Linked DNA regions of Caenorhabditis elegans. The protein of the gene in region 2 interacts with the protein of the main gene of each other region in a pairwise test. Each region holds a gene or a part of one and is shown on either strand. Other genes may lie near its edges. The genes, in order: slo-2 and bkip-1.

Evidence for each region.
Region 1: the proteins of bkip-1 (region 2) and slo-2 interact in a protein complementation assay, tested with the Caenorhabditis elegans proteins (one study listed by BioGRID).

The regions. Positions count from the first base shown.
Region 1 is NC_003284.9:11,401,147-11,406,441, forward strand, and holds the start of slo-2 (RCK N-terminal domain-containing protein), read right to left. Parts: upstream 3,055-5,295; coding exon 2,979-3,054; intron 2,651-2,978; coding exon of another isoform or gene 2,614-2,650; intron 2,059-2,613; coding exon 1,914-2,058; intron 416-1,913; exon of another isoform or gene 365-415; coding exon of another isoform or gene 315-364; intron 162-314; coding exon of another isoform or gene 58-161; intron 1-57.
Region 2 is NC_003280.10:14,099,679-14,103,426, forward strand, and holds bkip-1 (BK channel Interacting Protein), read left to right. Parts: upstream 1-1,584; coding exon 1,585-1,715; intron 1,716-1,759; coding exon 1,760-1,821; intron 1,822-2,681; exon of another isoform or gene 2,682-2,717; coding exon of another isoform or gene 2,718-2,759; intron 2,760-2,969; coding exon 2,970-2,986; downstream 2,987-3,748.

The DNA.
Region 1 (5,295 bases), on a different chromosome or scaffold from region 2:
GTTCCATGAGATATTTAGAGATAGTCAACAGGTTGTAAACACATAAAAAACTATTACACTTCTTCAAGAATCTGCTGGGTGCTTGGAGCTGGTGAAATCCCATTGGGTGAAGCTTTCCGTCTTGCAAGGAGCTCACCGAGTTGGTTGTCCTCATCGTGCATCTACATGTTAGTATATTAACAAAACTTTTAAATGGAAAAAAAACAGTACTAAAAAGGAAGCTTGTTATGAAAAACAAACGTCAGGAAAAATCAGTGAAAATAAGGGTGAGAAAAAAGAGAACAAGTAAGAAAGTATTCATCTTTTTGACTCACTAGTTTCTCCTTATTGGTCTCTCGGGTGTCGGAGGGCACATCCCAACCATGATTGCATACCCGAAATATTGAGTCAAAGAAACTTTTGAGAGGAGCCGAATGAGATTTCGAAAGGGCAAAAAACAAGTGGGATATTGATATGCTCTCTCTCTGCAGGAAGAAGTTGAAAGTTTCACTTTACAACCCAACAGATGAAAAAAGCCCACTCTTCAAAAAGTTATGAAGTGAACATGAGTTCCGGTTTTTTGAAAGCAGTATTTCTCCACAAATTAAGTAATAACATAAAAACAATACTATGCTTGTTTTTATATATTTTTTAATACTTAAGAGTTGTCCTTAGAGAAAATATACTGAAATGAAATAACAGAAACAAAACAAAAATCTCAAGTGTGTTGGAAATCCGAGAAAAACTAGTGGAGCATGAAATTGAGCTAATTATTGAAGCTTCGTTTGGGTTGTTTAAGGAAGTGATTCTATGAACAGATGCGTGTGAGGTCAATTAACGTTTGGAAATGTTAACTTCTGGCACATGATACATTCACAAGTTGTGAAATGTTTAATTGTATTCAGGACTTACAACTGAAATCATTTAAAAAGTTACTTTTTAAAACTTTTTTTTTGTTAAATTTGATGACATGATAGTTCTAAAATCTGATACCAAAAAAATAAATATTAATAGTGCAGAAATGTTACATTTTTCTTCCAAAATACTGAGTTAATGTTCTTTTAAAGTACTTCAACTTCTCAACAAAAAAAGGAAAAAACTCCAAAAAGGGAAATTCTCTAGATGCTCGACCCCGTCTTCACCCTGAATGCATAATAATTGTGGCATGGAATAGACAACATGAATGGATTCTAGATGTCCACACAAGACGAGAAGGGTCACAAGAGATAATGTAGTACGTTAGATATGTTCAGATAATGAAAGAATGGATATGAAAAAAGTAAAATCCGCTAGATTCATGAAAACTTCCCCAAGGGGCACGAGCAACAACAAAGATGAAGAAAAAGATGTGTTTGTGGCAGAAGTCATCCCGAAAGAAAAAAGAAAGAAGAAGAAGCATCAGAAGAATGAATGAATCAATGAATCAATGCAGCTTTTCAACTTAATTCTCGCACATATTTTATTCTTTTTTATTGCTCCAAGTTATCTTGGAACTTGAAGTTTTAATAGTTAAAGAATCTTAGCGTGTTTAAAACGAAGAGCCTTCCGCCATATGGAAAGCTTTTATGAACTGCAATTTCTCAACTTTTTAAGTAGGCAAAACTTATGACCAATAAGATAGTTAGAATGAAGAATAAAACTCAGAAATTCCGTATTCGTCAAGCGAAATTTCAATTAACCCCACTACTGCTCTTTTCATCTGTCACAGCAAAAATGTAACAGAATAGAAGATGATACTAGTTCATACAAAGAGCATATGCAAAAGAAATGTATCTGAGTCTTCTTCTTCTTCTCTAATTTGAGCCTCACTCCTCTTATGTCTAATCCGTCCAGTAGGATTTAGAATTTTCAAATCACATGCGTTGTCTCGAAATAAATATTTTTTCTAATTTTCAACGGACAAGTATGAAACTCTCAGAATGGATAAAACTTACGGATCTGCACGGAAAATGTCCGTGAGTTGAGTAATCGACTGCTTGAAATCATCGAAAGAAGTTGTTGGTTGCAGCTCGTTCATCAGCGAAGCATATGAGTTTTTGTACACGGTGCCTTCTGCCTCCGAATCAGTACGGGCAATGTCTGAAAAATAATAATAAATGATGTGAAAAAGACATTTTTTAAATAAATATATTCACTAGCTTTGTCGATGCCAATATTATACTGCTACAAATACCAGAATATTGAGCTTGCCGAGCTATGTTAACCAATCTTATTCAAAGCTAGTTTTTGCTTTAGAGTGTTTTTCAATTTTCGAATAAGGTGAAAACACGATTAAGTAAATTACAGCAGTTATTTTTAATTTATTGGTCTCGGTGAAATGCCAAACTGAAATAACACTTTTTTTTATTTGCGAGTATTTTCAGCGAATCGGCTTTTACGCTTTTGTGATACAGAATTGCATTTTATTCTGACGCTATAATACTCTGCTATAGAACTATGTTGAGAGCAAAATTATTATATTACATAGGCCATTCCACTAGCTGTAGTTCTGAATTGTTAATCATTAATTATGCAGTAATCAAAAAAAAGGAATTTCCTATAAAATCACCAATTAACATGGAATATGCTGATAAAAATTTTTCGTTATATTCTCTCAACAAGTTGGACATTTCTAGTTTTCCAAAGTTTGCCTACCATCGTTATCAAAATATTCTTCGTAGATATCATCCATCTGAACAGTGAAATCAGAAACCGAGAAATAAATTGAGGAAACGCTTTTTCAGAATGGCAAAGCCAATTTGTTTCATTAACCAAGATGCGCGTATTTGGATGTGCTCACGGAGTGGAAAAGAGCACTCTCAATTAGAAAAATTTCATCATTTGCGGTGTTGTCGTCGCAGTTTCATTCAGACCGGACATGTTTCAAAATTCACGTTTTTCAGTCAGACTCATAATGCTTGAGGGCATGAAAAGGAATATGATGAAAGGAACGACGGATGTTGAAACTTTTGTTATAATTTTTTATAGAATTCAAAATTAGAAAGAGTTTGTGTGCTCACCATCTACATCCTGATCACTCATATTTGACATTGATGGAATTCTACGTAGACCAGTATACTGGATGTCATCAGACATTTCAAAATGTTAAAAAAATAAACGGGCCAATAAGGGAAAATGTTGAAGGAACTTGACTCAAAGTAGTAGTTTTTCGTCTCTATTTCCCTCTGTCGGTCATTTGTTTTCTTTTTTGTGGCTTTCCAAGCATGAGAACCTGGGTATTTCCTTGTTAATTATCCCTTGCAAATTGCATTTATTTTTTTCAAGTGGTCAGTTTTGAGTAACAATCAGAGGGCCTTTGGTAGAAATTTTCTCGAAAACAAAACAATTTTGAGCACAGCTTCTTCAGCACTGAAAAAGCGGTTTCATATATGTATTCAGAAAAAAATATTTTATAAATTTAAAAATTTAATTTCATAAAGTTTAATTTAATTTCATTAAAAGCGCCAAGAAAGATTTTTAAAACTGGTTGAAAGTTGTTGCCACATATGACAATTTTAAGGCAGTTTTGGAATTGTTTTTTTCAAGTTTTCCATTAAAAATAAATGTTAATTTCATACAAGTAATTTTTTTTTTTAATATTGAAATATTTTCATTTTTGATGAAGATTGAAGATAGATAAGCTCACCTCTAATTCAAAAGTTTAGAAGACAAAATTGAACTAGAAATTTTGAATAGAAAACTTAAACTTTCTCTGCATTCTTCAGTTTTCAGAAAGATGATTTTTGAAAATATTAAATACAATTATTGACTATCAGGAAAACACTATGTTAGTAGCAATTACTTGGTGAATAACTTACACAGAAACGGAACATACGGCATTTCTGAAGTTGAACGGAGTAAAACGAGAACGATTCGATCAACTTTAGTTGAGAATGTTGTCAGTCAGTTCAGAATAAACAGAGCCAGTCAGTGAATGTGAGGAGGTGGAAACGGAATAAAAACTATATTTGCCTCGATATAAATATGGACTTATCTGCAGCTATCGAAATGAAAACCAAAATTTCATTTAGAAAAAGGAGCTCAGGAAGGCTCCCAAAAGATTTTATTGTTTTTGGAATCTGTCCGGCAGCGTCATCAATACCTCATTTGTATTTATGAATGGAGCACGCGCGAGCTGTTTCCTACTTATTCTTATATTTCGAGGTTAAGCCTTGTTTAATTCGAGCCAGTGAGCACCAGTTCTTAGAACAGAAGTATGAAGTTTGTTATTACTTTCACACAGGGGACACAGATGTGTTTTACTGTGAAGCTCTTGAATATTAGTATCGCATAACAAACACTGATAATTTTCGTATAGCAGACCAAGACTAATATTGTAATTATAAATTGTTATGACAAACCTGACTCTAACAGCCTCCTTCGCTCTTCTTGCAATTTTGGTGGTAAAACCTGCAATCAAACATAAAATGGTTATAAGGTCAGAAGCCATACACAGCGACTGAGCACAACAAAAACATACTCCGTTTAGAAGTTTGAAGACACCATTTTATTTGAAAAAAAAAACAGCAACAAACTGTTCAAATTGATTGTTTATTCTGTCAGAGATTGAATCAGTTTATAACTTTTAAAAATGGGAAACATTTTATGAGCTTTTTAAAACAATTATAAATAGGAAACTCACGTCGTTTAAAGCGTACACCATTTTAGTTGGAAATAAACAAAACTAAGTAAAATACGAACTATATTCATAAGAAAAGACACAGTTGTCATGCATACCCGAGTCCTACACACTTGAGAAGATGAAGATATTTCAAGACAAGTACTCGCAACGAAAGAATGAAAAAGTACCTTTTTCTGTGTTTCCATTCTTTTTAAAATCACTCAGAAGACCCGAACGGAGATCATTTGCTGCAAAATGAAACGGAAATAAACTAAAATCCTAATCCGAATTTTGCAACAGAATAGCAGGCGGCATCAGCTTTACACAAAAGGCATCGTGTAAATTCAATAGAAGGGAACTCAAGGCTTACATGGGGAAAGGATAGAGATAGAAGTAGATTGAATTTGTCGCCCAGTGAAACTTGATAACATATATCGCTGACTTCCAGTTCCGTGCACAGCTTCTAAATGGCAGAAAAGCGCAAGAAAAGATAAAGAAAAAGAAAGCAAAAAAAAATGAACAGAAAATGACAAATTGAGAAAAACGACACCACATTTTTTGGCTTGGTTGGTGTTGGTTTCGGCGCACATCAAAGTTTGTTTTTTTTCGTGCGCGAGAGACTTTCGAAGCCTTACGAATGAGGCCATTTGAGTGCACATGCATTCTTATTCTACTTCATTGTTCCCATTTTGAAGTTTGGAAGACGGAACATAGTA
Region 2 (3,748 bases):
GGCACGTCCGCCTGTATGTATATGCACCTACCATGGAAGCCCAAAGTAGGTTTACAAATAAAACCTTAATTTTCCGCAAAATCAGTAGGCAGGTATGTAGGCAAACAGTTATTTTTGTTTTTAATTTTCAAATTAAAAATAAAATGAAGTTGTTTGTTCTGAAATATTTTCTTAAAAAAAAACAATTACCGGAAAGTTGAAAATTTTATTTTAAAATTTAAAACTTAATAATTTTCAAACTAATAGTAAGTTTTCGTAGAATTTTTTTCATTTAATTTCTGACCCTTTCCTCTACAGTACCCCATTGTACAACCCCATTAACCCCTTAAAGCTCGTCCTTTTAATCCACCCCATGACAAGGCCAATTTTCTCATAAAGCCTCCAAAAATTCCACCCCGTGGCAGTTTAATTTGTGCTCTGCTGTGCTCAAAATGGCTATACAGCTCATAAAATTTTTTTTTCGGGGGGCCGCCCATATTATTTCCAAGAAAACTTTTTGAAATTTTATGGGCCATCGAAATTTCGAGAGGAAGTTCTGGTTTTTGCACTTTCGAGACAAACTGATCTCTGCGCCAATTCTTTAATCTGTTTTGAAAACAAAATTGAACTTTTCAATTTTTTTTTTATCCGAAAACTGAAAAACTTTAATTCGGATTTTATTTCAAAACTTTTTTTAAAAATTTTATTTCAAAGCTAACCTATCGACCTTGCCTGCCTTCCGTGCCTACTAACCTACCGACCTTGCCTGCCTCTCGTGGCTACTTACCTACCGACTTTACCTGCCATCCGTGCCTACTAACCTACCGACCTTGCCTGCCTCCCGTGCCTACTTACCTACCGACTTTACCTGTCTTCCATGCCTACTTACCTACCGACTTTACCTGCCATCCGTGCCTACTTACCTACCGACCTTGTCTGCCTTCCGTGCCTACTAACCTACCAACCCTGCCTGCCTTCCGTGCCTACTAACCTATCGACCTTGTCTGCCTTCCGTGCCTACTAACCTATCGACCTTGCCTGCCTCCCGTGCCTACTTAACCTATCGACATTTTTTGCGTCAAAAGGCAGTAGGTCGCCTTCAGGCTACCTTCTTTTAAAACATGAGAAGATGTTCCCTCTATTATTTTAAGCTTTTTCAAGCAGCTCCCTAGCCTGAAGCCTTCCAAAAAATCAATTGCTCAGGCATGTGACCGCTTTCAGCTAATCTCATTACCTTCTCGTGTGAAATTTCATTTTTCTTTATGTTTTAGCGTTTTTTGCTGGTTTTATTGGTTTTTATACTACTGATTTTTAAAATTGAAATTTTTCAGAAATTTCAAAAAAAAAATGTTTTAAAAAATTTTCTAAAAATTCTGAAAAATTTTCAAAATTGTTTTTACTGAAAATTTCAAAAAATTTCCCAACAAAAGTGACATCATCATTTCTCAAGCCCATTCATCTCTGAAAAACTTTCAGTTCTCAAATTTCACTTTGCCCTTTTTGTTTCCCATAATGTCTACATTTTTTCAACTTTTAAAACTCAAAGTTCAATTACCCTTTATTTCAAAAAATAATTTCAAGAATTTCCAGAATTATCAGCCAAAAATGTATATAACAACATCGCGAGTGAACAAAATGCAGCCTGGCGAAATTCTGACGTGGATTATGTTCTGTTTCACAGTAGCTTTGGCACTAGGCGTGGTCGCCTATTACAAGTTTTGCAAAAAAAGTATCTTGTAGTTTTTGCAGTTTTTGTAGTGTATAAATAAAAAAATTTCAGATCCTTATGCTCATCATCATTATCAAAGGCCTTTGATTACGAAAAATTAGACAATGATTTCAGTGAGTTTGGAATTTTTTGATAAATTGCCAAATTGTCAAGTTTCAATTGTCAATTGTCAAATGACCAATTTGTTATTTGACAGATGTCAAATTGTCAAATTGTCAAATTGCCAAGTGCCATCTTGTCAATTGTCAAATCTCCAAGTTGTCAATTGCCAATTCGGCAAATTGTCTAATTGTCGTTATGGAAAATTGTCAGATAGCCAAGTATAAAATTGTTAATTGTCAAATTGCCAATTGTCAATTAATGTCAACAATTGTCAATTGTCAATAATTGTCAATTTGCCCATTGTCAATTGTCAAAAAGTAAAATTGGCAAATTGTCAATTGACAAAATTTCGAATTTTCAAATTGTCAATGATTGTCAACCATTGTCTAATTGTAAATTGCCTATTGTCAAAAGGTCAAATTGGCTAGTTGTAAATTGAATAATTTTTGAATTGTCAAATTATCAAATTGTCAATTATTGTCAAATTGTCCATTGTCAATTGTCAAAAAGTAAAATTGGCAAGTTGTCAATGGAAACAATTTTCGAATTGTCAATTGTCAACTGAAAAATTTTCCAATTGTCAAATTGTCATTTATTTGACAGAAAAAAACAATTTTAAAAATTTGCAAATCGAAAAAAAAACTTTTTTCCCTCACAATATTTGATAGATCTAAAAAAAATTTCAATTTTCGAAACCGAACAAATTCTCAAATTTCGAAAATCTCCATCTCTAATGAGCCGGAGCACAAGCTCAGCGGCGTGGTGGTCCACCATGCTAGAGAGCACAAAGAAGCGAGAGACCGCAGACACATCCAGCAGAGCTTCTCCAGCTCTCCACACAAATCGATTATATTTTTGTGCTCACATTTTCTCATTCTGCTTATTGTTTTTTGTTGCTCGGAAATAAATGCCACAAATTGATGGATATTCTCATAGACCTGGAGATGTTGTGGGTTTTTATTTGATTTTTTTGTTGGAAATTTGAAAAAAAAAGGTTTTTGTCGATAATGGATAATTCTGTCAGAATTCAGAAAATATTATGAATTCTTAATTTTTTTGTTAGAAAACAAGTTGAAAAATTAAACAAAATTTCAAATTTAGCGCCAAAATTGTTTTAAAAAAGTCAAAAATTTAAACAAAAAAATTCAACTTTTTTCAGAAATTCCAAGCGGGTGAATGGTACACACTTTACGCATCACTTTTCATGACTATTCTCATAATTGCAGTCGTCTCATATTATACACTTATTGCTCCTGGTAAGCGGTTTTTTAATTAACAAAAATAATGTTTAAATTTAAAAAGCTCCTAAAACCAATAAATTAACAATTTTTCAGCTGAATCAGCATGGAAAGTATCAAAGCGAAAAAAGCAGCAGTGATTGGTATTTGCCTGGTTATTCATCGATCCTCATATTTTATTGATTGATTTTTTGTACATTTTTGGCTTTTCGAATGAAAATTTTAAAATTTGTGGTTTGATAAAAGAAAACGAACAATATTTGAATGAAAAATTATTTTTCTGAACTTTTTTGTCTAGAAATGCGGCAATTGTGACATATGCGACAATTGATGTTCGGCAAATTTTTTTGTCGACAAATGGGCAAATTGGCAATTTCGGCAAAACGGCAAATTTTCGGCTTGCCGATTTGACAGAAACTTTTGGCAAATTGCCGGAATTTTTCAAAGGGATTTTTTATAATACGGAAACACTTGAAACTGCGCCTTTTTGAAATTTTTCCCATTTTTGTAAATGATATTTTCATAGAAATTGCTTACTTTTCAAAATAGATGTAGGAAAATTTATAGGATGAGTACAATTTTGACGATCAAAATCGAGTTTTTGAAATTTCCAAAAAAAATTTGCAAACCTAAAATTTGCTGATAATTTTCAGCAATTGCCAATTTTCCGGCAAATTCGGCTAATTGGCGACTTGCCGGT